4 linked regions of the Elephas maximus indicus genome follow. The protein of the gene in region 1 interacts with the protein of each later gene in a pairwise test. Links are inferred from orthologs where the notes say so. Each region holds a gene or a part of one and is shown on either strand. Other genes may lie near its edges.

Evidence for each region.
Region 2: the proteins of HOXA1 (region 1) and NELL2 interact in binary tests that used the Homo sapiens proteins (3 or more experiments, as listed by UniProt). The link is inferred for Elephas maximus indicus from reciprocal best matches to the Homo sapiens genes HOXA1 and NELL2.
Region 3: the proteins of HOXA1 (region 1) and TRIP6 interact in a two-hybrid assay, tested with the Homo sapiens proteins (2 studies listed by BioGRID and IntAct). The two-hybrid records come from large-scale screens. The link is inferred for Elephas maximus indicus from reciprocal best matches to the Homo sapiens genes HOXA1 and TRIP6.
Region 4: the proteins of HOXA1 (region 1) and RGS17 interact in binary tests that used the Homo sapiens proteins (3 or more experiments, as listed by UniProt). The two-hybrid records come from large-scale screens. The link is inferred for Elephas maximus indicus from reciprocal best matches to the Homo sapiens genes HOXA1 and RGS17.

Annotation. Positions count from the first base shown.
Region 1 is NC_064826.1:88,263,928-88,271,271, reverse strand, and holds HOXA1 (homeobox protein Hox-A1), read left to right. Parts: upstream 1-4,461; 5' UTR 4,462-4,522; coding exon 4,523-5,168; intron 5,169-5,645; coding exon 5,646-6,001; 3' UTR 6,002-6,838; downstream 6,839-7,344. UniProt on the Homo sapiens protein: Sequence-specific transcription factor. Regulates multiple developmental processes including brainstem, inner and outer ear, abducens nerve and cardiovascular development and morphogenesis as well as cognition and behavior.
Region 2 is NC_064822.1:99,697,162-99,704,774, reverse strand, and holds the start of NELL2 (protein kinase C-binding protein NELL2), read left to right. Parts: upstream 1-4,601; 5' UTR 4,602-4,835; intron 4,836-5,688; exon of another isoform or gene 5,689-5,966; intron 5,967-7,613. UniProt on the Homo sapiens protein: Plays multiple roles in neural tissues, regulates neuronal proliferation, survival, differentiation, polarization, as well as axon guidance and synaptic functions.
Region 3 is NC_064830.1:92,227,450-92,234,570, forward strand, and holds the start of TRIP6 (thyroid receptor-interacting protein 6), read left to right. Parts: upstream 1-4,109; 5' UTR 4,110-4,359; coding exon 4,360-4,468; intron 4,469-4,682; coding exon 4,683-4,810; intron 4,811-4,912; coding exon 4,913-5,038; intron 5,039-5,332; coding exon 5,333-5,716; intron 5,717-6,028; coding exon 6,029-6,122; intron 6,123-6,234; coding exon 6,235-6,404; intron 6,405-6,818; coding exon 6,819-6,997; intron 6,998-7,121. Other genes in the region: SLC12A9 (solute carrier family 12 member 9), read left to right, coding at 142-288, 2,567-3,450. UniProt on the Homo sapiens protein: Relays signals from the cell surface to the nucleus to weaken adherens junction and promote actin cytoskeleton reorganization and cell invasiveness. Involved in lysophosphatidic acid-induced cell adhesion and migration.
Region 4 is NC_064819.1:224,721,737-224,729,614, forward strand, and holds the start of RGS17 (regulator of G-protein signaling 17), read right to left. Parts: upstream 3,013-7,878; 5' UTR 2,896-3,012; intron 1-2,895. UniProt on the Homo sapiens protein: Regulates G protein-coupled receptor signaling cascades, including signaling via muscarinic acetylcholine receptor CHRM2 and dopamine receptor DRD2.

The DNA.
Region 1 (7,344 bases):
AGTGATCATATAATGGTATCTTCACTTTCTTTTTATTTTTGTATTACATTAGGATGCATTGTCATGCGTATTTTTGGTAGAATAAATTCTCCTTTGCTACAAGTAGCTTTCTATTTTTTTCTCCCCCTCTTTCTCATGGCTCATAATGGTTTCTTTTTCTTCTTTTTAGTCTAACTTGGTAAATAAAATTCTAGTCACAATTTATCTTCTTTTTCAATTTTAGTACGTTTATTAAGGGGCATGTTTAAAGTCTTCTTTAGACAGCATCAACAATAACAAAAGAAAGCCAGAATATGGCTACAGCTTCTGAGAAATGTTTTTTGTTTTGAAGGGAATAGATTTGGTTTCAGCGTAGAGGTTCTAGCCACAGATTTGAATGGGCAATAGAAACAGGATGGGGCAGAGAGAAGGGCCAAACTGAAGCTTTTCAAAGTGGAGAAATAAAGTGCCTACAGAAACCTCCCACTCCAGCAAAGAGGAACGTGGAGTTTCTTTAACAAGCTACCAGTCTCCAGGTCAATAACTAAGTTACCAGCAATTCATTTATTTGTACACGTTTGTTTAAAACATCTACATTCCAGCCCCTCCCCCACAACCCCCCCTCCCCACACACACATTTTCAGAGTGGTTGATTCCTCTCCCAGCTGTTGATGGGTTCAGGCAAACAGACCTAAAAACAAAAATACGACAAAACAATGGTTACTAGCTAGAAAGCGCACTGCAGAAAGTGTTCTTTTCAATCCTCTGGTTCTGTCATTCTAGTATTCTTTTTTTTCAGGGTCAGAAAAATCAATATTTCATTCTTCAACCTGTTTACATTGCAAATAATGGATCATTAAAGCTTTGAAGCCAGGTTAGCAAGTCGAGATTTAAAACGGAGTGTGTTTCTGCACTCTAGGTTATGAATTAACCCAATTTCTAGAGAACGAAAAAATAAGCACTTTAAATGGTACATCAATAAAATATGATCTAGGGTGTGTTATTGGGCTGCTCTTTTTTTTTTTCTTCCCCTTTCTTACATGTTCCCATGTTTATTTTTTCCTTTCTGAGCTCTGTTCTGCAGGCTACTTACTTACCGTGAGAAAATGTAGCGTGTAAGCAACATGTGTGGTGCCGGTTGATTTACCAACCCGGCTTTTAAATGCAAAGGCTTGGAAGTTACAATGAAATCGCGATTTTTCTCCAACCATTTGCTCCCCACTTTCCCCCCGCCCCTTTACCCCCTAAATTCCGGCAGCGGCGGGGTTGTGTGGAGATTGCGCCGGGTTTCCGGGCCCCAGACGCGGCGCGGAGCAGGGCGGCTCAGCCCCGGCCAGGGCTGCGCGGCGGCTGGATGCGATTCGTCCTATGCTCATAAATCAACCGCTTTCTATGAATGAGAATGTCATCAAAGAGATCAATTGCAGGAACACATGCACAAATAAAAATCCTCTTACGTATTTGCCGGGGATCCCCGTCCGAAAGCATTAAGTTAGAAGGCGTTTAGTCATAATTCATTTTTATTGCTCTTTTAAAACAACAGCTTGGCTGAGCCGCGGATGCCCTGAACAGCTCCGGGCCTCGGCGGCGTTTTGTTTCCTCCTCGCTCCTTCCCTGTATAGTAGAAGAGCCCTGAAAGAGGTGCTTTGAGCCCAGGGAACCTACTGTGGGAGATTATTTTAATCGTGACCAAGCTCGCCTTTCACCCACTCCTCCCGGGCGTTTCAAAGACATTAGCTCGAGGCTGGGCGCTGGCCTGCGAGCCCAGAGGGCCAAGCGTTTCCAATCCTGTAGACCGGGTCCCAGAATTTCTTGGAGGGGGTGGGGAGGTAGGGAAGGAACCGAGCTACGGAAGCCTACGGGCTTGAGGCCAGGGGAGGCTGCCTTTGGGAGCCGCCCGGGGAGAGCGGCGCTCCCGGCGGCCGGCAGAGGAGGAGCCCGCTCGGCTTAGAGAGCCCGGCCTACCGGAGCTGAGCGCAGAGAAGGGATGGTCACCGGCCCGTGTGTCTGCAGGCCTGTGTGCGAGTGTACGCTTCTGACCCTAAGGAAAGGAAGAAAAACAAACCCACCCAGGCTGTCCCCGAAAAGAAGCTAGGAGAGAAGAAGAGAGGTGGAGAGAGAGGAGCACGGAGGCCTGGTTGCTAGAAAAGGAGGATGCGTGACTGTGGCCGAGGGCGGCTTTGTAACTGGCACCATGCGACGGAGGGGTTCGCGAACGCTCGGCCGGAGGAGGCCAACGGAAGTATAGAAATGAGGCCGGGGGGAGAACGTACTGAGGAGCTTAGGCCTGAAGAGCAGATCGCCCGCACAGCCAGCACAGATCCTCCCTCCCCCTTCCCCAAGGGGCGCCTTCTCTCGCCATTCCCCTGAAGGCCTGGCGCTCTGAAGGAAGCCGCTTCCAGGAGGGTCGCCCTGCCTACTCCCTTCTACTGGAGGAGGTTCCCCAAGAGCTGCATCTGGAGCGAGTTCCCCGGGAGCTGAATCTTACCTTTCCTGCCTGTGCCCCCTCTTAACTACACATGGGAAAGGGTCAAAGATCACTGAGAAATACCATTTCAAAAGGAAGTGTTTGGGGGAAAAACGTCTCTTTGCTACGAGGAGTTCAGAGCCAAAGGTCTGCATGGGTTTTCCTTCTTGGGGAGGCAGGTTTTTTTGCGGGGGGGGGGCGGAGTCTCTATATTTGAAGAACAGAACACAGAAGCCTGAAAAGGTGACTAACACCTTTGAAATGTACCTACCTCAACCAAACTTAGTTCTTTTAAACTGGGGGAGGGGAAGCAAGAGGAGAGTGGGAAACGCAAACCCACATGTAATCCTCACAAAAAAATTCATCTGTCGGATTTGATGTTGTAAACATAGAGTAAAATCTATAGGGCATTGGTTGCAAAACTTCTTGCATGGTCTCTAGATTTCTTCTACCTAAGAATGCATCAGTTCTCGGCCTCGGTTTGGCCTTTTCTCTCCACTAGCCCAGGGGTGTCGCCAAACCTAATAGTAAACACCAATTAACGACCCCATCAGCATCAGAGTAGGACGAGGGTGATGGAGAACAGGACCCCTGGCCCGAGATGACGCTCAGATTTGCACGCGTCTCTCTAGGGAAAGACTAGATGGCTAATACAAGCAGCTACGCAGTCAGTTGGAAAGGGGAGGAGATGGTGCTGGGGAAGAGGCAAGTGTCCAGTCCACCATCAGCCATCTGTCTACCGCCTCTCCCACCTGCCAGCCCCCACCCCTGACGTGCAGTAGAATGTAGGGGGCGGGTAAAGGAGGCTCTCCCACTCCTAATATTTTCCTTCCAAAAAAGAGGAAGGTGGCGGGTGGGGGGGGGGATGTTTTCTTGGAGCTGTGGTTCTCCCGCCCTTTGAGGCTCCCGCCCGGGCACGCAGACTCCTGGGTCCTGGGGAGCCCGCAGATGGCCTGCAGCGCGCGGCCCGACCACCACGCTGGCTACGTCCGCTAGCGTCATCTCTTTCCCCCGCCTCCTACGCCTCAAAATCTAGTGGCAGAGTTGCTGGGTTTCCCGGAGGGCTCCCGGAGCAAAGCTGAGTGGGGAGGAGAAAGGGGCGGAGAGCGAGGAGAGAGAAAGGGCGGAGAAGAGCCCCGCCACCCTAGGCCTTTTCCTGCAAACTCGGCAGCAAGCGCTCACCCGCCCCTGGGCGTCGAATTACCGAAGCTCCTCATTGCCATGCTAATGGCGAGGGTGTGGGGCCGGAAGGCCGCTACGGCGACCGGGGAAGGGGGAGTTTCTTTTCTTGCCCCCATCCCCTCCACGCTCACCCCGGGTTCCTCCCAATCAGCTCTCTGCTCACTTCCCTCTCTGCTTGGAGCTTGGAGATCCGATGGCCCAGTTTCGCCTCCGCCATCGTTCTCAGCGCTCCTCCCGGCCCCAAGGTCCCACAGCAGGGACAGTACAGTGAAAACGCTAGGAGATCCTGGGGCGCGGCTCCGGCCCAGTGCCTACCCTTCCGGCTCCGAGCGCTTCGCTCTGGGCCCGCGTACCTGCGGCCGCCCGGCGAGTTCCAGCCCACTGATTCCCGACCCGAGAGAGCGGGAGCCCTTTCGCCTTCTCACCTCTTGCCAGTTCATCTTCCTGTGCACGACGGGGAGGGGCACGGAGCGGGGAATGCCCCCCAGCCCCCACCTCCAGGACGGGGGGCGAGCGGAGTTGGGCGTGCGCTGAAGACAGCCGCCCCCCTTAGCCCCAGCGCTCCGAATCCGCTGTTTGCAGACACCGCAGCTGCTGCCGCCGCCTGGGCTGCCTGGGGGGGCGATTGCGCGTCACCTAGGCGGAGGAGCGCCGGGGATTTAAATGCCACTGAAACGGTGATCCATCACTGCTGGAGCCTGCAAAATTTCGCAGGAGGCTCAGCCATTGGCTGACATAGTCACGTGCCCCTCCCCTTGCTCCCTCGGCCCTCCCGCCGCCCCCCCTCCCGCTCACTGTACATTCATATCATTTTTCTTCTCTGGCCCCATGGAGGAAGTGAGAAAGTTGGCACGATCACCCAGGGCGTCGCAGGATCCAGTCACTCAGTGACAGATGGACAATGCAAGAATGAGCTCCTTCCTGGAATACCCCATCCTCAGCGGTGGTGATTCGGGGACCTGCTCAGGGCGAGCCTACCCCTCGGACCATGGGATTACAACTTTCCAGTCGTGCGCGGTCAGTGCCAACAGCTGCGGCGGCGACGACCGCTTCCTAGTAGGCCGGGGGGTGCAGATCAGCCCACCCCACCACCACCACCACCACCACCACCCCCAGCCGGCCACCTACCAGACTTCTGGGAACCTGGGGGTGTCCTACTCCCACTCGAGTTGTAGTACAAGCTACGGCGCACAGAACTTTGGCGCGCCTTACAGCCCCTACGCATTAAATCAGGAAGCAGACGTAAGTGGTGGGTACCCCCCGTGCGCTCCCGCTGTTTACTCTGGAAATCTTTCATCTCCCATGGTCCAGCATCATCACCACCACCAGGGTTATGCTGGGGGCGCAGTGGGCTCGCCTCAGTACATTCACCATTCATATGGACAGGAGCACCAGAGCCTGGCCTTGGCCACGTATAATAACTCCTTGTCCCCTCTCCACGCCAGCCACCAAGAAGCCTGTCGCTCCCCTGCGTCGGAGACATCTTCTCCAGCGCAGACCTTTGACTGGATGAAAGTCAAAAGAAACCCTCCCAAAACAGGTCAGTCCTAGTCTACTGCCAGCCGATGGATGCTCCTTGATGATACTACAAGGGGTTGGTATGCTTAATTCTCAAGGAAAGTTAATAACGGTCTTAAAAAAAAAAAAAAAGTTCTTGCTTAACACCGGTGTTGTGGGGCAGGAGATTGCCCAGGTGTGTTGGGGCACGGAAGCTTCTGGGACGGATGCGTTTTCAAAGGGACTGAGTTTGAGAGGTTCTGGAAGTAGCAAGTGAATGAGTGTGGGTTCTGTTAATATCTCAGGTTCCATTAATCACGGGGTCTGACCAAACTGATGGTTGACTTCAGGTTAACGCCTCACATCTCATCACTCACCCTCCCCAGCCCGTTTTGTGCCCACAAGTTCTTCATCTCTCCTTTACCTGAATGTTGCTCTGAAGCGTGTAGGGGATAAATGTCCCTCATGTCGATTTAATTTTCTTACCTTTTTCTCTCGTCGCATTCCATCCTGACCCCAGGGAAAGTTGGGGAGTACGGCTACGTGGGTCAACCTAATGCGGTCCGTACCAATTTCACGACGAAACAACTCACGGAGCTGGAGAAGGAGTTCCACTTCAACAAGTACCTGACGCGAGCTCGCAGGGTGGAGATCGCCGCGTCCTTGCAGCTCAACGAGACCCAAGTGAAGATCTGGTTCCAGAACCGCCGAATGAAGCAGAAGAAACGGGAGAAGGAGGGCCTCTTACCCATCTCTCCGGCCACCCCGCCGGGAAGCGATGAGAAAGCCGAGGAATCCTCAGAGAAGTCCAGCTCCTCACCCTGCGTTCCTTCCCCGGGGTCTTCTACCTCAGACACTCTGACTACCTCCCACTGAGGGCACCCCAGCCCCAGACTCTGTAGTCCAGGTTTCTCCTTGGGCTGGGACTTCTAACCCAAAGCACATTCTTAGCTTACCTTCCTTTCCAGTTCCAGTCTCTCTCTTCCTTTCTGGTCCTATATGGGGAGCTTCTGGCCAGGTTAATGTGTTTCTAGAGCATTCTAGACCAGAGACTTTGTGGGGGGTTAACTTCTTAATCCAGATCGGGTGCCAGCATCAATTTTCTGATGGCCCTTAACAGTTCTACCCACTTTTCTATTTTTACAGAACCTACTGTTCTTTTGGATCCCCTTTGGAAAATAGTTCCCTTTGCCAGCAGAAACATGTCAGAGGACAGCCTCTCATCTTTTACTTATCTGTATATTTAGTCCTCCCCTACCCTGATCTTAAAGGTAGGCTATATATATATATACACACACACACACACAGAGTCTAGGAGCTCATGAAGAAGAGATGCACTATGAGCATGTTTACACAATTCATCCCTTAATTTAATTCAATTTCATGTGTGTGAGTTTGCTGGTTGTAAATACTTTGTCCTGAGAGATTTATCTTTATACAAATTTTCTAGAAATGTTTGGATTAAGTGACTATAACAGGGTGGGCAAACTCAAAGCTGGTACAATTTTATATGTGGTTATAGGTAAAAGAATACATTCTCATTTAAACCCAATCAGATGCTTCAGAGAGTAGCCTCAATTCATTTTCAGTGAGTTAAGAAGGTCTGCCTACAGAGCACAAGGTTCAGAAACCTGGCTTCCTGTGCTGTCTCCCCATCCCTTCCCCTTCTTGTTTCACTGGCCGCCCCCCTCCACTTAAAATTTGTGCTGGATTATTCTGAACCTAAAGGTATTCAAACCAGCTTCTTCCTTTCGCAGTTATCTTAGCTGGATATGATGTATTTTCAGCTTAGTTGTTAACGTGATGGATGGCTCAATGAATGTATATTTTGTGTGATTCGTGAATCGTCTTTTGCATGTCACACAATGTTTTGATTTCCCTGAAGTACCACACTGAGTTCTGTCAGTTTTTTGTGAGCCTGTGGTACTCCCCATTTCCTGTACAATCATGAACAGCTCTGAGATTCTGAAGTGATGTGATCAGAGCAGAGTTACGGGTCTTAAGATGTCTGTAATAAATATATTGAAGTTTCAGGTATGCTTAAGCATCAGTGTATTTGCCTGGGCTATAATTTGTTAATTCCTACAAACTGGATTCATTTCATGTAGTGAGAGAGAGAAGGGTGGTATGTTTTTTCCAAGAAGTTGTCCTTTTCTTGAATAAAAATGAATGCTTCCCACTATCATGTAGCTGAAGCTTCTCCCATGAGTGTAATTTCA
Region 2 (7,613 bases), on another chromosome or scaffold:
GCAAATTCTGCTATTTTACATACATTTAGACACAGTGCTTCTTTTTGTGCAAATACACTAGTACATCATTTGGATTATTTTTCGTAGCAATACTGAGAAACATCTTATTAAATAAATTTTTCTTCTTTAACTAATTCATTAATTTACAAATCAACAAGAATAGAAAATTAAGTTGAGAGATGTAGAATCTTTAGGAGAAGAAACGAGAGAGAGTCTATAATTCTTTAAGATGAGTATGGGTGCCCATCTTTCACAACGCATTTCTAATAAGGACTAAATTCTACAGTAATATCTGTACGCACCTTTTAGTATTCCTTTCAATTCTTGGGCCACTAATTAATCCCTACACACGGCCCTTGTCTCCATCTTGCTATCCTGGAAATACATACCCTGGGTCATGAAGGGTTCTAGAGGAGAAAACAGGTGGATCAGTGGAAATCCATCATTATAAAAGGGGGGAAATAAAAGGAAAGAAGAAACTCAACTCCAAAATTCCAAGCACTGTCCTGCCATAAAGAGACTTGACAAAATCACCACATCAATTTCACATTAACTACTTTCTTGATTAGAGGATGGAGAACTCTCTTCTAATAGTTGTTTTTGTGTATCTCTGGATTTTTTTTTCTTGAGAAGAATATTAAACTAATTGGAAATTAATGGAATTAATTGGCAGCAATGTTCTTCTCTTGGGGTGAACCTCTTTCTGTAGCCACATTCTCCATTAGGAATCTGAATGCTAGTTTAGTGTCTCCAGACAATTACTTAACTCTCATAAAAATATGCAGCCTCAACTATTTGGTCTGTTGAGACCCGTCAGGGAGAGAAACTTCTGAGTGGCAATTGAGTTTCAGTATCAAGTGGGATTGGAATCATTAAACAGGGAGCATTCTGTACATGGTGTTAGAAGTAGAGACCAACACCAGGGAAAGAGACTCATGGGTTACTTGGGTGGGCTGGTCCTTCCAACTGCATGTCCTCGCCACCCTGCTGATTTTGGTGACTGCAATTCAGGATGAAGCTTTCAGCCTCGTGTGGAACCAAAGGTACTAGGCATGCTGATGAAAGTTGCATTTAAAGATATTGGCTACACTTGGTTGTGGCTGTTGCTGTTAGGTGCCGTCTAGTTGGTTCTGGATCACAGTGACTCTACGTACAACAGAATAAAACACTGCCCTGTGCTGTGCCATCCTCACAATTGTTGCTATGTTCGAGCCTAGTGTTGCAGCCACTGATGTCAATCCATCTTATTGAGGGGCTTCTTCTTTTTTGCTGACTCTGTACTTTACCAAGCATGTCCTTCTCCAGGGACTGATTCCTCCTGATAACACTCCCAAAGTACATGAGATAAAGTATCACCATTCTTGCTTCTAAGGAACATTCTGGCTGTACTTCTTCCCACACAGATTTGTTTGTTGTTTTGGCAGTCTACGGTATATACAAAATTCTTCACCAACACCATGATTCAAAGGCATCGATTCTTCTTCAGTCTTCCTTATTTGCTGTCCAGCTTTCGTATGCATATGAGGCAATTGAAAATACCATGGCTTGGGTCAGGCACACCTTAGTCCTCAAAATGACATCTTTGCTTTTTAACACTTTAAAGAGGTCTTTTGCAGCAGATTTACCCGGTGCCACGTATCGTTTGATTTCTTGACTGCTGCTTCCATGGGCTTTGACTGTGGATCCAAGTAAAATGAAATCCTTGACAATTTCAATATTTTCTTCGTTTATCATGATGTTCCTTACTGGTCCAGTTATGATGATTTTTGTTTTCTTTATGTTGAGGTGTAATCCATACTGAAGGCTGTAGGCTTTGATCTTCAGCGGTAAGTGCTTCAAGTCCTCTTCACTTTTAGCAAGCAAGGTTGTGTCACCTGCATATCACAGGTTGTTAATGAGTTCTTCCTCCAATTCTGGTGCCATGTTCTTTTTCATGTAGTCCAGCTTCTCAGATTATTTGCTCAGCATACAGATTGAATAAGGATGGGGAAAGGATACAACCCTGATGCACACATTTCCTGACTTTAAACCATGAAGTATCCCCTTGTTCTGTTTGAATAACTGCCTCTTGGTCTATATACAGGATCCTCATGAGCACAATTAAGTGTTCTGGAATTCCCATTCTTTGCAATGTTATCCATAGTTTGTTATGATCCACACAGTCCAATGCCTTTGCATAGTCAGTAAAACACAGGTAAACATCTTCCTGGTATTCTCTGCTTTCAGCCAGGTTCCATCTGACATCAAAAATGATACCCTTAGTTCCATGTCCTCTTTGGAATTGGGCTTGAATTTCTGGCAGATGTACTGCTGCAACTGTTTTTGAATTATCTTCAGCAAAATTTTACTTGCATGTGATGTGGATATTTTTAGATAATTTCTGCATTCTGTTGGATCACCTTTCTTTGAAATGGGCACAAAAATATGGATCTCTTCTAGTCAGTTGGCCAGGTAGCCATCTTCCAAATTTCTTGGCATAGATGAGTGAGCATGTCCAATGTTGCATTCGTTTGTTGAAACATCACAATTGGTATTCTGCCAATTCCTGGAGCCTTGTTTTTCACCAATGCCTTCAGTGCAGCTTGGACTTCTTTCTTCAATACCATCGGTTCTTAATCATATGCTGCCTCCTGAAATGGTTGAACATCAACCAATCCTTTTTGGTTCAATGACTATGTGTATTTCTTTTGATGCTTCCTGTGCCATTCAATATTTTGCCTACAGAATCCTTCAGTATTGCAACTTGAGGCTTGAATTTTTTTCTTCAGTTCTTTCAGCTTGAGAAATACCGAGCATACTCTTCCCTTTTGGTTTTCTAACTCCAGTCTTTGCACATTTCATTATAATACTTTACTTTGTCTTCTCCAGCCACCCTTTGAAACTTCTGTTCAGCTCTTTTACTTCATCATTTCCTCCATTTGTTTTAGCTACTTGACATTCAAGAGCAAGTTTCAGAGTCTCTTCTGATATCCATTTTGGCCTTTTCTTTCTTTCTTGTCTTTTTAATGATCTTTTGCTTTCTTCATGTATGATGTCTTGATGTCATCCCACAACTCATTTGGTCTTCAGTCTTTAGCATTCAGTGTGTCAGATTTGGAAACCCTGGTGGCATAGTGTTTAAGTGCTACGGCTGCTTACCAAAGGGTCGGCAGTTTGAATCTGCGAGGTGCTCCTTGGAAACTCTATGGGGCAGTTTTACTCTGTCCTATAGGGTCACTATGAGTCAGAATCGACTCGACGGCACTGGGTTTGATTTTTTTGTGTGTGTGTGTCAGATCTTTTCTTGAGATGGTCTCTAAATTTAGGTGGGATATACTCCAAGGTTGTATTTTGGCTGGTGGCACACATGGTTGGGGATTAGAAAGGGAGACATCAGGCTGCTGTTCATGAGAATACTTAAAAATCTATGCCCTAAGTACAAAACATGGCCAGTTTGGGAGCAGTAGACTTTTCTGGGAACCTCATACTTTACCAGGTTTGGTTGGTTCTTACTGATCTGAAGTCTGGGTGGATCTTGACAGAGAGGCCAGGTTTTATTAAAGGTAGTAAGTAGTAGCAATGAATGATGCCACCCAAAGTCTCAGAGATTCCAATTGTATTAGGTTAAATAAAAATAATGAAAACAAGCACCAAAAACCCTAAACCAAACCCGTTGCTCTCAAGTCGATTCCAACTTGAAGCAACCCTATAGGACAGAGTAGAACTGCCCCATAGGGTTTTGAAAGAGTGGCTCGTGGATTTGAACTGTCAGCCTTTTAGTTAGCAGCCAAGTTCTTAATCACTGTACCACTAGGGCTCCACTGCTCTACCAGGACTCCTAAAACAAGCACAACTTCTTTTTATTGAAAACACAGTATTTTTGAAGCAATATCTATACCAAACACTTTACATTTTCCAAATAAGGAAACTAAAGCTTAGAGGAGTTAAATATATTATTTACTCATCATCTGGTGCTAGTAAACAGCAAAGCTGGAATTTGAATACAAGTCTGTCTCATTCCAAAGTTTGTACTGGCTTTATTATTTTATCATTCTGACACATAACCTTTGTCCCTTGAGGGCAACATGCTCCCTTGGATATATGTCAAAAACTAGAAACTTCTAGGTAGGATAATCTTTCTCTAACAAACATGCGAGGCATCAGTGACCCAGAAGACATCTTCACATAGCTCTAAATAACTGAAGTCCATCTGGTATATCCATTAAAAAAAAAAAAAAAGTTTTCGTCAAGTCATCTCAGACTTGTGGCAACGCCACGTGTATCAGAGTAGAACTGTTTTCTGTAGGGTTTTCAATGGCTGAGTTTGAGGAAGTAGATTGCCAGACCTTTTTCCCCAGGCGCCTGTGGGTGGACTGAACCTCCCGGCTTTCGGTTAGGTTAGCAGCCGGATATGAACTTCATCACCTCGCTGGAGCTGTTTCCTTCCTCGATCACCCAGAGGGCAGCCTGCGGCAACGATCCCCCTGAGCCCTCTAGTGGTCCACGCGGGAATCAGCGTTACTAGGAACATTCTCAAAGCCGGGCCGGTGTTGCCCAGGGAAGCAAGGCTGTGTGACACCGCCTAGAGTCACCCTCATAGCTTCCCTTTAGGTGCTCCTGGGGCATGTCCACCACACTGCTCCAACTCAAGATGACTTCTCAAACCTGTCAAGTGTGCACTCTTGGATGCTACAGGGTAGATTGTATCACTAAGTTTCAGGAAGAAGCAAATACAGGTATCTAGAGGACGTGGCAGCAAGTCCAAAATATATTTTTGTATGTCCCTCAAAATGCACAGGGTAGTTTTTTTAAGTTGACCCCCAGAAGCAGCTCTGGATATCTTATACTTACCCAAGGTAAATACTTAAATAACTCTAGTAACAACCTTAGGTTACGAGGGGATAGTATAAGTATGATATTCTGGGATGTTTACGGTTGTTTTTGTAGGGTATTTTAAAATAATATTGGCAAATGATACATTGTCTAATGCAGGAATACTATCAGTTTTTTTTCATGATTTTTATATAATCATGATGACATGACATATTACAATAGTTTCCCTGTTATTAGTTTAATATAGTAACTATAACTGTAGGTTATTCTTATTTTGGAATATAAATATATAAGTCTATTTAAATATACATATATTTTAACATGTGTATTTCAGATATCAAATGTAGACAGCAAGTATATATTCTACTGCCTCTACTGCAGTTTTATTGACATTATTATATTATCTAAAATAGACCAATTTATTTTGAAAAAAATAGTTGCTGTTTTAAAGTAATTTCAAGAGAAAAGACTATCAGTATATTTTCATGGAAAAAAATATAGATTGTTAATAAAATAGGAAATAACATTTTCATTTGGCATATTCTGTTAAAAGCTACCCTGTCAACCACTTAACTTACAGACAAATCAAAGCAAATTTGATTTGTTGAGAAAATATTTACAGGGTTTTTCAGTACCGTGTTAAATGCTATAGAAAATATAAATAGGACTATGACTTGATTCCTATCCTCAAGATTCTGGGGGAGAAGTAAAGACAAGTATCTAAATACCTTGTAATGAAGACAAAAGTGGAATCCTATCATCTCAGCAAAACAAAAACAAACTAATAATCCCAGAAATAAAAAAGAGAGAAAGATTACAACTTAAATAGTGCTGGCAGTATTGCCCACCTTTCCTTTCAATGATTGCCTGGAGTGAGCGTGACAGGAGTAATATGAATCTGTGATTCCCTCGGTTTATCTCTGTTCCGGGTACCTCTCAAGTGCAAGCATGTTACTCAGCTGAGTGTTATTCTAATTTTTAAAGATATGCGTATATGCATTTTTCATATAAAATGGACCCTAAAAGCAAGCCAACTACTTCATCTGGTGCTCAACCAAAGAAACAGGAATCTGTTCCAATGCTGGAGGAAAAACTGGCTGTGTCCAACCAACTCGGGGTCTCCAGTGGAGAGCCTTTCGAAGGAATTTTCCAGGGTAATATTCATTATTCATGATTTTCTCATTTTTAATTTTAGAATCTGAGTAGTGTAACACTATTGTAAGATAAATAAGGATTGTAAGAATGTCATCATATTGTATTTTGGAAGATTAATTTGATAATAATATTTTGCATGAACTGGAAGGATAAATTAGAGACAGAGAAGCAATTAACAAGCTATTATGTGTTGAACTGGAGAATGTTTTGTTGTGTATTATTTTCACCACAATTTAAAAAAAAAAAAGCTGTTATGGAAAAGGAGCCTGGGTGGCTCAGTGATTAAGAGCTCGGCTGCTAACCAAAAGGTCGGTGGTTGGAATCCACCAGTCACTCCTTGGAAACTCTACAGGGCAGCTCTACTCTGTCCTATCCCTATAGGTTGTTATGAGGTGAAATCGACTTGAGGGCAACAGGTTACAGGGTATTATGGAAAAAAAAAACAAAAAAAAAACAAAAAAAATATGCTGTTATGTCTGTAGAGGTGAATAAGAGGGTAATGATTGTCTGACCTGGGGTGGAGGTAGAATAAGTTAACCTTTTACAATTGACTAGGATGGGTTAAAAATAGAGGTTTTAAGTTTGGGTGATAATGAGATTAGAGACACCTTTAATCAGAATTAAGGAAATCAGGAGAAGAACTGGTTTTGGTCAGGAAGATGAGTGTTTTTTAGGTGGAGCGCAAGGTGACTGTGGGACATCCAAGTAGAGATGTTCATTAAGGGGTTGGAACTGTACGAAGACGGTCGAGGTATGTTGTGTTTAGGAATGGCAGTTGAAATCATAAGAGTAGAGAAGATGTCTTATAGAAAGAAGAACTAAACCAGTTAATTCTGACTCACAGTGACCCCATGTGTTTCAGAGTAGAACTGCCCTCCGTAGGGTTTTCTTGGCTGTGACCTTTTGTAAGCAGATTGCCAGGCCTTTTTTCTGAGGCTTCTCTGGGTGGATTCAAACTGCCAACCTTTCAGTTAGTAGCTGAGTGCTTAACTGTTTGTGCCACCCAGAGACTCCATATAGAAAAAAGACAGAAACCTAAGTGTAGGTTTTTGGGGATTACCTGCCTTTGGAAGGTGGAGAAAGAAAAGAAGCCTCCAAGGGGGCCAAAGATGGAACATTTAGAATCAATATTCAGGGCAAGGGAATTTTAAAAAGAGAGAAATGTTGCTGAAAGTTCAAGAATTATATAGAAAATAATGAACTAACTTTGGAGGTACAAGGAAGAAAAGAACATAATAGGAGAATAAGAGAAGAGAAAACTTTTAAAGAAGGACAGGGATGTGATAATTTCAGGAAGGAGAGATAGCAAATGATTTTAAGTGTTGCTGAAATTCCAAGGAGGGATGGAAACGGAATTTGGAGAATTAGGAGTTTAAATCCAAAACTAGCTTATAGGGTCTACCAGAGAATTTTTTTCCTGGTTTATAAATTTGTGTAAGACTAACCAATGTATTAAAAAAAAGCTCATATTTAGTTATATAGTTAATTCTGTATATACTCAAAACAAAAGTATAGGAAATGGGTTTTCTCACAGATGACCATCAAAGTCATCATTTGTGACCATATAAAAAAAGTGTGGATCAAAGACAGGTTGCAAGCCAACGAATGAATTGAAGTATAGGCTTTGCTTTTGAGAAGTTTGGTAA
Region 3 (7,121 bases), on another chromosome or scaffold:
ATACTTCTTTCCAGATGACCTACCCACCCTGCCACAGCCTGCCTGGACCTTTTTCTTCTGCTCATTTGGGATTTGGAGTCTGGGAATAAGTAAAGGGGTTTGGCCACATGGGCTGCCTTCCTTTGCCTACCTTCTCCACAGACTCCCTGCCCTCGGACCCTGTGCAGCCGCAGTATGGGGCATGGCTGAGCCTGGTGGACCGGGCCCAAGTGAAGGCCTTTGTGGACCTCACCCTCTCTCCCTCCGTGCGCCAGGGGGCTCAGCATCTGCTGCGTATCTCAGGCCTTGGTGAGCTGCTTCCTCTCTGTTTCCTCCAGCTCCCTTTGTGGACCCGTTAAATCTCCACTCCCCTCTCCCAGAGAGTAAATCACAAATTGCAAACTCTAAAAGGAACTCAGAATCTAGTGCAGATAAGATGCAGTGCTCAAAGATAACAACCACGCTGATGGTGGTATATGATAAGGCCTAGTAGAAGATGCTGAGCGTTAGAGATGGGGTGATACTTTTTTTTTCCTGAACCAAGAATCGGGGCCCAGGCTTTGATGAGTCTGTTGTACTTCTAGGGGCAAGAGAAGAGTAATTATTTGGGTCTGGGGCTGCCCTATCAAATCTAGGGCAGATGGTTTCTAAGCACCAGAGTTCAGAGAAACAAATGCTGCTACGCACTGATATGGCCCGTAAAGTTTTTGTGAAGAGATGGTACCTCAGCCAGGCCTTGAATGGGCTGGAGAAGTGGGGAGCATTGCAACGTGGGCCGGAGACCACAGAGCACAGAGGATGCCAAGGGCATGGGGAAGGTTCCCAAGCTTTGTGAGTGTGTCTTAATGCTGAGGCCTCTAGCCTTGGGCTGCACATTCCTCCAAATTTGTGCTCAATATCTGTGGCCACCTTTTCCATTTAGGATCTGATGTCCGACAGTGCTGGACATTGCTTTGCTCAGTGCACATCAGAAAATGCTCAGGAGGGGATGTCTAGTTTCATCTGCAGTAGGGTGGGGGGAGGTGCATCGTTAGATAGCCCAGGGGCATCTGAGAGTCTGGTCTTTCCTCTGCCCCACCCTTGTAGGAAACCTGCAAAGAGGCTATTAAACCAAAAAAAAAAAAAAAAAAAAACCAAACTCATTGCTGTCAAGTTGATTACGACTCATGGCGACCCTATACGACAAAGTAGAAGTGCCCATAGGGTTTCCAAGGAGCGGCTGGTGGATTTGAACTGCCGAGCTTTTGGTTAGCAGCCAGATGTTTAAACCACCGCGCCACCAGGGCTCCAAGAGGTCACTACTTTCAGGAAATGTATCTTGATTCAAGTAAAAGGGAAAGGATTTCCTCTAGGTAGTGCATTCTCCTGGCGCGTAGAATTTGATTCACTGGTAGGTTTTTTGCAGCCCGTTTGTTTCATGAGGAGGAGTTTTGGAAGTGGTTTCAGAGCCTTCTGAAAATGCAGCCCTGTGAAAGGGAGGGATTATCACATTCCACATTGACTGTGGAAGTAGTACAAAACAGGGAGCTGTTGGCAGGGACTTGGGACGTTGTGGTTCGCATGCACACTGGCTTGGTGCTAGGCTGCCGCGTTCATGTGCTGGCCCCGGTACCTACGAGAGCAGGGAGACTTCGGCAATGTTACTTTCCTGCTCTGTGCTTCAGGTTCCTTATGTGTAAAATGGAAGAATAAGTGTTACCTACCTCACAACGTTGTTTCAAGGATTAAATGAGTTAAAACCAGGGTTCCAATGGGTCAGTTTTGTTGGGTGGGGGGTTCTGCCCCCTGCTGAGAATTTGCATTTCTAACCTATTCCCAGGCTGTTCTAATGCTGCTGGTTAGGGACCAGTTCGGAGAACCACTAGCAGAGCAGTGGTTCTCAAGATTTATTATATGTAAGAGTCACCTGGGGATCTTGTTAAACCATAGATTCTGATTCAGTATACCTGGGGTGGAATTATTTGCATGGCCTGGGAACTTGTTAGAAATGCAAATTTTCAGCAGAGGTTCAGGAAAAAAAAAAAAAAACAGCAAAAATCCCCTAACCTGTTCAAAGCCAGTGCTTTCAACAGGACCTGGGGCCTTGTAAGTTCCTTCAGGAATGGTGCTGTGAACGTAACATTCCGAGGCTTTGCAGGAGTAGGAACAGGCTGTGAAGCCTAGCTCGTCTCATGTCATAGCAGGATCTGAGGTGCTTTCCCTGGGGATTGAGGCCATGAACTTGACTAATCAGGGTGTCAGACTCTCCCATCATGAAAAAGGTGTGCTGCTTAAAAATGCGGAATAAACAGGTTCCTACTTCCCATGGCCCTGAAGTGCGTATTCTCCAAGTGAGGCGAGCTTTGACTATTTAAAGGAGGAGGTTAGTGATGAAGATAAGTGGATAAATGCATGTGAAAGTGTTTAGGAAAACGAAAAAGTCATTATGCAAATATACATAATGCCAGGAGAACCCACACACAGTGTAAATGTAATACTTAATGGCTGACACACTAATTGTCAGTGTGTCCGTGGGCGCATCCTTGTGTGGTAGAAGCTCAATCTGTGAGTCTGATTCCTGTCTGTTCTTTCCTGCCTCTGCTCCCAGGTGGCATGAAGCCCAACACATTGGTCCTGGGTTTCTACGATGATGCCCCACCTCAGGACCATTTCCTGACAGACCCAGCTTTCTCGGAGCCTACTGATGGCACTAGGGAGGGGGGGCCTCCAGCCCTGAGCACCTTGTTCTCTCCACCTCGGGCTCCTGGGAGCCCCCGGGCTCTCAGTCCCCAGGACTATGTGGCCACCGTAGCGGATGCCCTCAAGATGAACAAGAACGTGGTTCTGGCTCGGGCCTGTGGAGCCCTGCCCCCTGAGCGGCTGAGCCGGGGGTCTGGGGGCACTTCTCAGCCACACCACATGGACGTGTGGCCCCTCAACTTGCTGCGGCCTCGGGGTGGGCCCGGCTATGTGGACGTCTGTGGCCTCTTCCTGCTGCAGATGGCAACCATTTTGGGCATGGTGCCTGCTTGGCACAGTGCTCGTCTCCGGATTTTCCTGTGCTTGGGGCCTCAGGAGGCCCCTGGGGCGGCTGAGGAGCGGCTCCGGGCACTGCTGAGCCAGCTGAGGATCCGGGCTGAAGTGCAGGAAGTGGTATGGGGCGAGGGGGCTGGCATCAGAGAGCTGGAAGAGGAAGGGTACTTTGAGAACAGCGGGTGGGGAGATGCTGAGGCAGAGGCGCTGGCATGCAGCGCCAACGCCCTGATTCGGGCCCAGCAGGGGCGCAGCAGAAGTGGAGGGCCTGGTGGGCCGGAGGGTGGGGATGAGGAGGAGGGACCTGCCACTGCCCTGACCTTCCTGTACCTGCCTCGGCCACCCGCTGATCCTGCCCGATACCTCCGATACCTGGCGTTGCTGGAGATCCTGAGCCGTGACCTGGGCCCCACGCTACTCATTCATGGTGTCACTCCTGTCACATGCACTGATCTCTGATGCCTAATGGAGCCCCATTCCTGATGGTGGGTAGAAAGGGCCCACCCAGGCTCAGCAACCCCTCTTGATTAGTGGATGTCGAGGAGAGGAAGCACCTCTTTCCACTTGCCCTGCACTTGGGGCTGGAGCCCAGTGGAGATGTCAAGGGATTCTGGGCGGGCCAACTCCTTTCCCATTGTGAGTGGGACCCCATGTACTAACGTAGGGCAGCTCTGCATCCCAGTCTCCACTGTGGGGGGGGCAGTCAGCAGCCCCCCTTCCCTTCACTGGTGCCTTGTTGGGAGGGGCTGGCTCTCCTCTTGCGACTCTAGGCTACCTCAGTCTCCCTCTCATCGCTGACAGGCTCACTGACCCCTGAGGTTGTGATGTGTTCGTTCTGTTTTATTTTTCTAACTCTGCTGAACGTAAATAAAAGATCAACAAACTACATGCTGGTTGAGCACTGCCCGGCAGCAGGGGAATGGGAGGTGGGTCGACAAGAAAGCCATGTGCCCTTGGGAAAGGGAGAAGCATTTATCGGCATGTGGAAAACAGGGGTGCCGGAGCTGTCCCGACAGCGAGGTTGCCACGTGCAGGACTTGGGGGCGCGGAGCCAGTGGCAGCAAGGGGTGTGGGGCTGGGGGATTCGGGCGACCTGGAGGCAGCCAACGCGGGATCCAGGACACCACTCCCCGCCCCGCAGGAGGGGCCAACTCTGGGAGGGTTGGTGGTTTTGGGCCTAGGGGGCCACGTGACCCTCCCCCAGGAATGTGGTGACATCATCAGGGGCGTGGTCATCCCCAAAATTGGGAAGGAAGGGAGAAAAAAAAAAGGAAGAAAAAGTTTCTTTCCTGGAGTTCCAAACGAGGTGCAGGAAGAGAGGATCAAGGCCAGAGATCCGGGGCTCTGAGGGGTCCCCCGCTCCAGGCCATGTCGGAGCCCACCTGGCTCCCCCCGAAGCAGCCGGAGTCCTCCAGAGCTCCTCAGGGGAGAGTGTTCCCTCGAGGGCCCCCAGGGCCACCGGTGGCCCACGGAGCAGGTAAGGCAGCCCCGGTGCGGTGCGGCCGTAGGGGCCGCCGGTTGCCCAGCGCTCGCCTCTTCCCTCCACTCTTGCCCCCTCCCCCAAGCGGGCTGGGAGGTCCTGCCTGCCCCCATTCTCAGACCCCAGGTGGAGGAGGAGGGAAAGGCGGGGCCCTCTTGGCGCCCCTCGTCTTCTCCATCCCTACCTTTGGTCTCTCTTCCCCTCAACCCAGCACTCCAGCCCCACCCCAGAGTCAATTTTTGCCCCCTCCCATCTGAGCAGTGTTACCAGGCCGGAGGGGGACCAGAGGATCGGGGGCCAGCCTGGGGGGGGTCCCATGGAGCACCCCAGCGCCCGCAGGTGAATACTGGAAGTGGGGGGCATGAGTCGAGTGTGAATGGGACCCGGGGAGGCAGAGGAGACGTTGTGATTTGCATCTCCCTGCTTTTGCTCCATCTCCAGGGGCTCCCCCTAGATAGAGGGAGCTTGGGCCCAGGAAGTCTGGATGCTGAGATAGATTCGCTGACCAGCATGCTGGCTGAGCTGGATGGGGGTCGTGGTCACGTGCCAAGGCGACCAGACCGACAGGTGACTCCTCCCCTTCCCTAACCCTGCTTACTGTCCCCTGCTTCCCACACCTCCAGCCTGCTCCCTTCCCTGGATTGATTCTCAGTCTGAATTCCACCCACCTCCGTCCTACTCCTGTGTGAGAGATGTACGCCCAGCATGAAGAAGCCTGGGCCAGAGAGCTTACTAGGTAGTCAGCCACCTGAGGGCAGTGTCTCCTCAAAAGTTGCCCATCTTGGGGCCACACGTGGGGTTTCCACAGATGTGTGACCTGGAATGGGCCTTCCTTACTCTTTGTGGTCTCTTTCTCCCCAGGCTTATGAGCCCCTTCAGCCCCCTGCCTACCGCACGGGCTCCCTGAAGCCGAACGGAGGGGGTGTTCCATCCCTGCAGCTCCCAGCATCCCCCTATGGAGGTCCCACTCCGGCCTCCTATGCTACTGCCAGCACCCCTGCTGGCCCTGCCTTCCCTGTGCAGGTGAAGGTGGCACAACCAGTGAGAGGCTGTGGCCCACCCAGGCGGGGGGCCTCTCAGGCTTCTAGGCCCCTCCTGGGGCCCCACTTTCCTCTTCCCAGCCGAGGTGAAGTCTGGGGGGCTGGCTATAGGAGCCACCGGGAGCCAGGGCCAGGGGGTAAAGAGGAGGCTGCCAGGGTCCCTGGCCCTGCAGGAGGAGGAAGAGGAGGCAGGTACGGGTCCCAGGTAGGTCCACGGCACTGGGATTTTATAGACAACTGGATATTGAGTGGGTGGGGTGAGGATGGTGTTTAATGTCCTGGTTTTAGAGCAGAGTCACAGGTCGGGGATGTCAGAGCTCTGGATTCCCAAAGGGTGTGGGGGAGGCCAGAGAGGGGGTAGAGCACTGGTGTCTCCTCGAGGCTCTCCCCTGGGTCCTGGGCTGAGCTGCTCTCAAATGGGCTTTCTGGGTTGAATCGCATGTCATGTCACACACAGGGATTTTTATAGTGCCAGAAGTCCAGAGGTAAGACCAAACCCCTGATTCCCACCTCCCAGGTCCCCCTGAGCCAGCCTCCAGAGGAGGAGCTTGAGAGGCTGACCAAGAAGCTGGTGCATGACATGAATCACCCACCCAGCGGGGAGTACTTTGGTGAGCTGCCTCTGCAGTGTGGGAGCATGGGGAGGTGATACTGGAGAGGCAGAGGATGTGGGGGTCTGGCTTCTGGGTCTGTGTAGATTGACCTTTTCCCCACTATCCCTAGGCCGGTGTGGGGGTTGCGGAGAAGATGTGGTGGGGGATGGGGCCGGAGTGGTCGCCCTTGACCGAGTCTTCCATGTTGGCTGCTTTGTCTGTTCTACGTGCCGGGCCCAGCTTCAGGGCCAGCATTTCTATGCTGTGGAGAGGAGGGCGTACTGTGAGAGCTGCTATGTGGTAAGTGGTTCGGGCTGGGTGGCTGGAGTCAGCAGCTGGAGATAGGTGGGAGCCAGATGGCCAGCCCCAAAAAGGAAAAGGACTCAAAGTTGGAGAACTAGAACCTGTTGGAGGGGGAAGACAATGGTTCCTTACAAGTGTGAAGCATTTTAGAGTTAAGGGAATAAATTAAATCCCCACATTAGCCCTGTGAGGCAGGTATTATCGTTGATGACATTTTTACTGGAGACTGTAGCTTAGAGGGGTTAAATGACTTGTCCAGTAAGTTGTAGTGCTGGGACTTGAACTCATCCTCTCAGGTCCACCTTTCACTGAATCACATGCAGGAGGCTAGGTAAATAGATGGGTAGGCTGGCAGGATGCCTGAAGGGCTACCATGGGGTCCCCTGACCTTCCTGCTCCCCTTCCCAACAGGCCACCCTGGAGAAGTGCTCCATGTGCTCCCAGCCCATCCTGGACCGGATCCTTCGGGCTATGGGGAAGGCCTACCACCCTGGCTGTTTCACCTGTGTGGTGTGTCACCGTGGCCTCGATGGCATCCCCTTCACGGTGGATGCCACCAGCCAGATCCACTGCATTGAGGACTTCCACAGGTCAGCATGATAACCCTTTCCATCTCCCTCACCTCTGTTTCATGCCCCAGTATCGATTACTCCTGTTTCCAACCCTGGACCTGCCTCCTTCTCTTTGGTATACCTCTCTTCCCCAGTATCCAAG
Region 4 (7,878 bases), on another chromosome or scaffold:
CTCTTAAGCTCCATGCCTCATCACCTATGCCCACCTTCCATTTTTCCAGAAAAGCCTATGTGCTTCAGTTAATGGACTTCCAGTCTGAAAGCCATTATCTCTACAGTTGTGGATTGACAGGTAGATGCTTTCTTACTCTTTAGCCTATGAGTCAGCCAGAATTTTATCAATTTAGCTTTAGATCTTTTTTTATTAGATTGTTATCATGAGGCCAAATGGCTAAGAATATTTATTTATCCCTTTCTTCAAAGCCCCTAGTCGTAGTGGTAGGAAATATCAAGGAAGACTATTATTTCATTATTATGATGATAATGCAAAAGTATAAGAAGTCCACAGGAGTAATAATGGACTTAGACCTTCAACATTATGAGTTCAAGCAAATTAATATCCAGCAAGAATATTCTTAAACCTAATGAGATACCTATTTGAGAAGGAAAAGCTAGGTGACTTAGAACTAAGCAGGACCTGCAAATTAACTCTGTTAATTCCCTTACCTGGGGACTGAACACCAAACAGTAGTTGAGGAACCAGAACAAAAATGGTTGAAATTGGCACAACGACACTTTGTTGTTCTGTAAACTGGGTGGTTTTCTTAATCTTTCCGACTACAGTTTCAGGGGAAGGATGAGTGCCCAGGGTTCTGGGACCATGTGTCATTGCTATGGAGATTTATCTTATTTAAGAAATTATATCACCCAGTCTTTTTGTAATGATAAACACTTGTTTCCTCATTTCCGAAAACTGGGAATTAACTGCTTTTTCATAGCTGCCTTATATATACTTTTCAAGATGACAAAAAGAGTGAATAAATCTACTCTTCCTTGAGTGTGCTAATTATTATTTTTTCTTTAGTTCATGCTAACGGAAAAAATAACTCAATAACAGTAACTTAACTGGAGAAGGTTGAACTTCTCAATCATTGGAATTAATGACTACAAATCACTTTTTCATTAGGTATTAGTGCCATAATGGGCATCTACTACTATTCCTATAGAAGACTTTAGAAACAAATACAAATTACTTCAAGTGTTTCCCAGTTTTCAAAATTACTTGATACACCTAAGTATCTAACCAAAAACCCATTGCCATTGAGGCAATTCCGACCCATATCGACCCTGTATTACTTCAAGTGTTTCCCAGTTTTCAAAATTACTTGATACACCTAAGTATCTAACCAAAAACCCATTGCTATCGAGGCAATTCCGACCCATATCGACCCTGTAGGACGGAGTAGAACTGCACCATAGAGTCTGCAATGAGCGCCTGGTGGACTCAAACTGCCAACCTTTTGGTTAGCAGCTGCACGATTTAATCACTACGCCACCAGGGTTTCCACCTAAGTATCTAGCAGCTATGAATCCAGGAGAAAATTATTTTCAATTCCAAGAGTAAAAATGATTTATCTTAAATTAAATGATTTTCAGAGCGGCGTATCACGCCGAAAACCAGTGCGTATAACACCGGAAATGGAGATGTCATCGACTCAGAAACGCTTATTCTAGATGGAAACCGAACTATACGCTTTTTCTTTATTATTTGTAATCTAAAAAAAATTTTTTTAATTGCTATTCCAGGATGGAAAGAATCTTAATGTAAAAAAAAAAAAAAAAAAAAAAACTATGGGAAGCTTGCAAAGTTCTCTAGACAAACCTTCCAGCGACGCTTTTACAGAAGGAAGCATTTAGCGAAGGGTCAGGGAGGTTAGGGAAACTATGCCTGGAGCCAGAGTCCGTCTTCCCGGAGCGACTAGACAAAACCAGGTGAGCCGGTGTCCCGGGCTCCGGATGGCGGCGAAGGGCGGGTCCCCGAGCTGCGGGCATCTTTCTGGCCAGGCGACCCCTGCCCCATCTCCGGGAGCCCAGGGACTCCCAAGGCGGGAGCGGGCTACCCGGGCGCGCTGCCTGTCACCTCCCGCTCGCTGGGAGCATCTCCCGATCCGTGGCTTGCGTGGCCAGCTCGTTCCCTCCGCCATCCTCAAGTCCTCCGACATTTTTCAGGGAGATCGGGAGGTAGAGAGAAGAGGAGCAATATCTGCACCCCGCCTCTGCCGCAGCCCAGGAAAAGGCAAAGGAGGAGAAGGCTGGCGAGGAGGCAGCTATTAAACCGATTCCATCAATAAGAAGAAGAATCCCCATCACCCACAGTGAGGGTGCTTCCGATACACCCACCCCGGCAGCGGTTCGAGGGCTGGTGGGCGTTCCTCCTCCTCCTCGCCCCCTCGCTGGCTGTGCAATCGACCCCATGAACCCACACCAGAACTCCCTTTCCTGTGACTACGAGGAGGGGAAGGAACAAAAGAGACCCCGAGCCTCGATACACACACACACACACACACTTGATCGCTGCTAAAGGTACTCATTTTTGCAAACCCTTCCCCGGCTTACACCTTCCTCACCTGAATAGTGCATTTTCCCAAAGGCAAAGAAAGGTAAGGGAGAGAAGGTATTACCCGAAGGAGATGGGTCGCTAAAAACCTGAATTCCACAGTCGGCTTCCGAACCAAACGATCACAAACGCCCCCTCCCCCGCAGGACCCGGCGCCCCCAGGCCCGCCCCCGCCCAGCGCTCCCCGCCTTGGCCCCGGGCGCCGCTCTTCGCGGGCGCCGGGGACCCCCCAGGGCGCCCTCCCTCCGCCGCCGGACATCGGTCACCCCCGGCCGCAGCTGCAGGGCGGCGAGCGGAGCGGCTGGGCAGCCCCGCGGCTCCAACTTCCCCGAGCAGCTCCCCGCGGGGACTCCGGCCCGCAGGCGCCCCGCGGGCAGGGCAGCGCTCTCCGCCCCCTCTGTCCTCTGTCCTCCATCCTCCTCCCCGCGGGCACACACGCACCCCTCAGCCTAAGCAGACATTTTGCTGTCACACAGTTAGCACGGCTCAGCCTGCACGGCCACCTCTTACCCAGTGCCTGGAGGGTGGGCAGCGCACCGAGCGGTCCGGGGGCGCGGGCGGGCGGCTCGGTCCTCTAGCGGCGCTGGTGCGCTGCCATCCGCCCAACTTCAGCACCCAGCCGGCGACGAGAGGCAGCCAGGCGAGGATGGAGGCGGGGGCGGGGAGAGGAGGAGGGTGGGCGGGCGGGAGGGAGCGGGCGCCGCTCGGCAGCGCGCATGCGTCCCGCCGCGGGCGCAGCCTCCCGCCCGGCGCCGCTGGAGGGGCCGCTGCCGCCCCGGCGCTGCCTGAGTCACGGCCCCGCCCTCCCGCCCGCGGCCCGGCCCCGCGCCCGCATGGCCGCGCCCACTGTGCGGAGGGCTCGGCGGGGCTCCGGGCAGGGCGCGCGGTCTGCGGGGCGCGGGGGCACCGGGACCTGGTGCGGGGGCTCCTGCACCTTCGCGTTCACCCGCAGCCCACGTTCTTTTATGCTGGGCTGTAGGAGAACGCTGAAAAGGAGCGAACCGGGCGCAGCACCGGGCTCCGCGTGGAAGCTTTCCCCGTGTGGAGTTCTAGAACGTGCAAAGTGAAGCAAGTTTTGCTTTATCGAGGGTCCTTTACTTTATTGGCTTCGTCATCCAGAAATAGGACCCTTGTCCCCAAGAATTATTTCAGAGCGCTCGGGTGACTCTGGTCTGGGGCATATTTGCTGGCTCAGGCGTCTGCACCACGGCAGCGAGAGATTTGAGTGGGCGAAACCGTGGGTAAATGATTAACAGAAGTGCGGATACTTGGGGCCTTGGGCATCCTTTGGGAACAGCTTGGTAGCTATCAGATCTGATAATTGTTCTAGTCACAAGCGGGGCCCAGCATGGTAGCAAAGGAGCGTTCAGACACTTTAATGCATCATGAGCGCTAGATTAGATGATTAGATTGAAGTGTTCGGAAGGAAGAATTAGGAAACGGGTGTCTTTCTCATCCGATATGATCTCTGTGGGAAGAGGAGTGAGTTCCTGGCAGGAATGATTAGGCTTTTTTCTCATCCCTTTTTAAAGCAGATTACTTGTAAGTATACATGATTTCCGTTGCTTGCATGCTCATATAGTCAGACATTTTTATCATTATGTCAGGCTCCTTTGCTAACCAACCTTCCCTCTCTCACCTTCTACTTGACTCATTTCTTCTCTAGCAACATCCTTGACTTTTGAATACTAGTGCTTTTTACAGTATATTCCCCTGACTGGTGCTGGTCTGCAAATGTTCACCGTTGTTATTGTGAGGCGCCATCAACATCAAGTCAGTTCTGACTCATAGCAACCCTATCAACAAAAGAAGGAAACACTGCCCGGACCTGCTCCATCCTCACAAGAGGTTGCCATGTTGAGCCCATCGTTGCAGCTACTGTGTCAATCCATCTCATCGAGGGTCTTCCTCTTTTTTGCTGACCATCTACTTTACCAAGCATGATGTCTTTCTCCAGGGACTGATCTCTCCTAATAACATGTCCAGAGTACCTGAGACAAGGTCTGGCCATCCTCACTTCTAAGGAGCATTCTGGCTGTAGTTCTTTGAAGACAGATTTGTTCATTCTTCTGGCAGTCCATGATATATTCAATATTCTTCGCCAGCACCATAATTCAAGAATATCCATTCTTTTTTAGTCTTCCTTACCCGTGTCCGGCTTTCAAATACATATGAGAAAATTGAAAATACCATGGCTTGGGACAGGTGCACTTTAGTCATTGACGTGATATCTTTGCTTTTTAACACATTAAAGAGATCTTTTGCAGCAGATATTCCTAATGCAACACGTCATTTGATTTTTTGGCTGCTGCTTCCATGGTCATTGATTGTGAATCCAAGTAAAATGAAATCCTTGAAAATTTCAATCATCTCTCTGTTTATAGTGATGTTGTTTACTGGTACAGTTGTAAGGATTTTTGTTTTCATTACACTGAGTTGTAATCCATACTGAAGGCCGTAATCTTTGATCTTCATCAGTGTTTCAAATCCTCTTCGCTTTCAGCAAGCAAGGTTGCATCATCTGCATATCACAGGTTGTTAACGAGTCTTCCTTCAATCTTGATGCCCCGTTCTTCTTCATATAGTCCACTTTCTCTGATTATTTGCTCAGCATATAGATTGAATAAGTATGGTGAAAGGATACAAACCTGACGTACACCTTTATTGATTTTAAACCACACGGTATCGCCTTGTTCTATTCCAACAAGTGGCTCTTGGTCTATGCATGTTATCCATATTTGTTATGATGCCTTTTGCATAGTCAATAAAACACAGGTAAACATCTTTCTGGTTTTCTCTGCTTTCAGCCAAGATCCATCTGACATCAGCAACAATATCCCTTGTTCCACATCCCCTTCTGAATCCGGCTTGAATTTCTGGCAGTTCCTGTCAATGTACTGCTGAAACCGTTTTTGAATTATCTTCAGCAAAATTTTCATTACATGTGATAGTAATTATATTATTCTGTCATTTCCACATTCTGTTGGATCACCTTTCTTTGGAATAGGCATGAATATGGATTTCTTCCAGTAGGTTGGCCAGGTAGCTGTCTTCCAAATTTCTTGGCATAGGGGAACAAGAACCTCCAGCACCGTGTCTCTTTATTGAAACATCTCAAGTAGTATTCTGTCAGTTCCTGGAGTCTTGCTTTTTGCCAGTGTCTTCAGTGCAGCTTGGACTTCTTCCTGCAATACTATCGGTTCTTGATCATATGCTACCTCCTGAAATGGTTGAATGTCAACCAATTCTTTTTGGTACAGTGACTCTCTGTATTCTTCCATCTTCTTTTGATGCTTTCTGCTTCATTTAATATTTTCCCCATTGAATCCTTCAAAATTGCAACTCAAGGCTTGAATAGTTTTTTTTTTATTATTAATGTTGTATTTTAGATGAAGGTTTACAGAACTAGCTTCTCATTAAACAATTAGTACACATAGTGTTTTGTGACATTCGTTACCAGCCCCACAACATTCTTTCTCGACCTGTGTTCCCTGTTACCAGATTTTCTGTCCCCTCCTGCCTTCTAATCCTTGCCCCTGGGCTGGTTTGCCCCTTTAGTCTCGTTTTGTTTTCTGGGCCTGTCTAATCTTTGACTGAAGGGTGAATCTGAGGAGTGACTTCATCACTAGCTAAAAGGTTGTCCGGGGACCATACTCTCAGGGTTTCTCCAGTCTCTGTCAGGCCAGTAAGTCTGGTTGTTTTTTTGTGAGTTAGAATATTGTTCTACATTTTTCTGCAGCTCTCTCTGGGACCCTATATTGTGATTCCTGTCAGAGCAGTCAGTGGTGGTAGCTGGGCACTATCTAGTGCTGAACTCACTCTGCTGGAGGCTGTGGTAGTTGTGATCCTTTAGTCTTTTGGACTAATCTTTCCCATGTGTCTTTCATTTTATTCATTCTCCATTGTTTTCAACAGGATGAGACCAGTGGAGTATTTTAGATGGCCGCCTACAAGCTTTTAAGACCCCAGATGCTATGTGCCTATGGAGGTTCCATGACTTTGCCTTGTAAAAGTTGTGCTGGCTTCCCCAGTATTGTGTAAAAAAAAAAAAAAAGTACTGCCTTAAAAAAAAAAAGGCAAAAAAAAAAAAAAAACCATTGCCGTTGAGTTGATTCCAACCCATAGAGACTCTATAGGACAGAGTAGAATTGCCCCATACGGTTTCCAAGGGGCACCTGGTGGATTGGAACTGCCAACTTTTGATTAGCAGCCATAGCTCTTAACCACTACACCACCAGTGTTTCCATGTGTACTGCCTTACTCTTCACCAAAGTAACCACTAATCTATTGTCTAGTGGTTTTCCGTCCCCACCGCTCTTCTCCCTCATAACCATTAAAGATTGTTTCTTTTTGTGTGTAAACTTTTCATGAGTTTTTATAGTAGTGGTCTCATACAATATTTGTCCTTTTGTAATTGAAGTATTTCAGTCAGGATAATGCCCTCCAGATTCAGCCACGCTGAGAGATGCTTTCCAGATTCATCATTGTTCTTTATTGTTGCGTATTACTTCATTGTGTTTATCAAACCATAGTTTGTTTATCCATCCGTCTGTTGATGGGCATCTAGGTTGTTTCCATCTGTTTGCTATTGTGCACAATGCTGCAGTGAACATGTCAGACATGGGTGCACATATGTGTATTCGTGTGAGGGCTCTTATCTCTCTACGATATATTCTTAAGTGTGGGATTGCTGGATCCTATGGTATTTCTATTTCTAGCTTTCTAAGGAAGCACCATATTGTCTTCCAAAATGGTTGTACCATTTTGCATTCCCACCAGCAGTGCATAAGAGTTCCAATCTCCCTGCAGCCTTTCCAACATTTATTATTTTCTGTCTTTTTGATTCGTACTGGTAATGACAGTGTGAGATGGTATCTCACTCTGGTTTTGACTTGCATTTCTCCAATGGCTAGTGATTGAGAGCATTTCCTCATGTGTCTTTTGGCCACCTGCATGTCTTCTTTGGTGAAGTGTCTGTTCATTTCCTTTGCCCATTTTTCAAATGGATTGTCTTTTTGTTGTAGAGGTGTTGAATTTCCCTGTAGATTTGAGAGATTAGACCTTTGTCAGATTTGTCGCAGCCGAAAATTCTTTCCTAGTCTGTAGGTTCTTTATTTACTCTTTTGGTGAAGTCTTTTGATGAGCATCAGTGTTTAATTTTTAGGGGATACCAGTTATCTAGCTTATCTTCTGGAGTTTGTGTGTCATTACTTATGGTTTATATCCTCTTAATGCCATGTATTAGAGCCTTTAGTTTTGATCCTATTTTTTTCTTCTATAATCTTTATAGTTTTTGATTTTATATTTAAGTCTTTGGTTCATTTTGAATTAGTTTTTGTGTATGGTGTGAGGTGTGGGTCCTGTTTATTTTTTTGCAGATGAACATCCAGCTTTGCCAGCAGCATTTGTTAAAAAGACTGTGTTTTCCCTGTTCGATGGACTTTGGGCCCTTGTCGATGATCAGGTGACCGTAGGTGGTTGGATTTACATCTC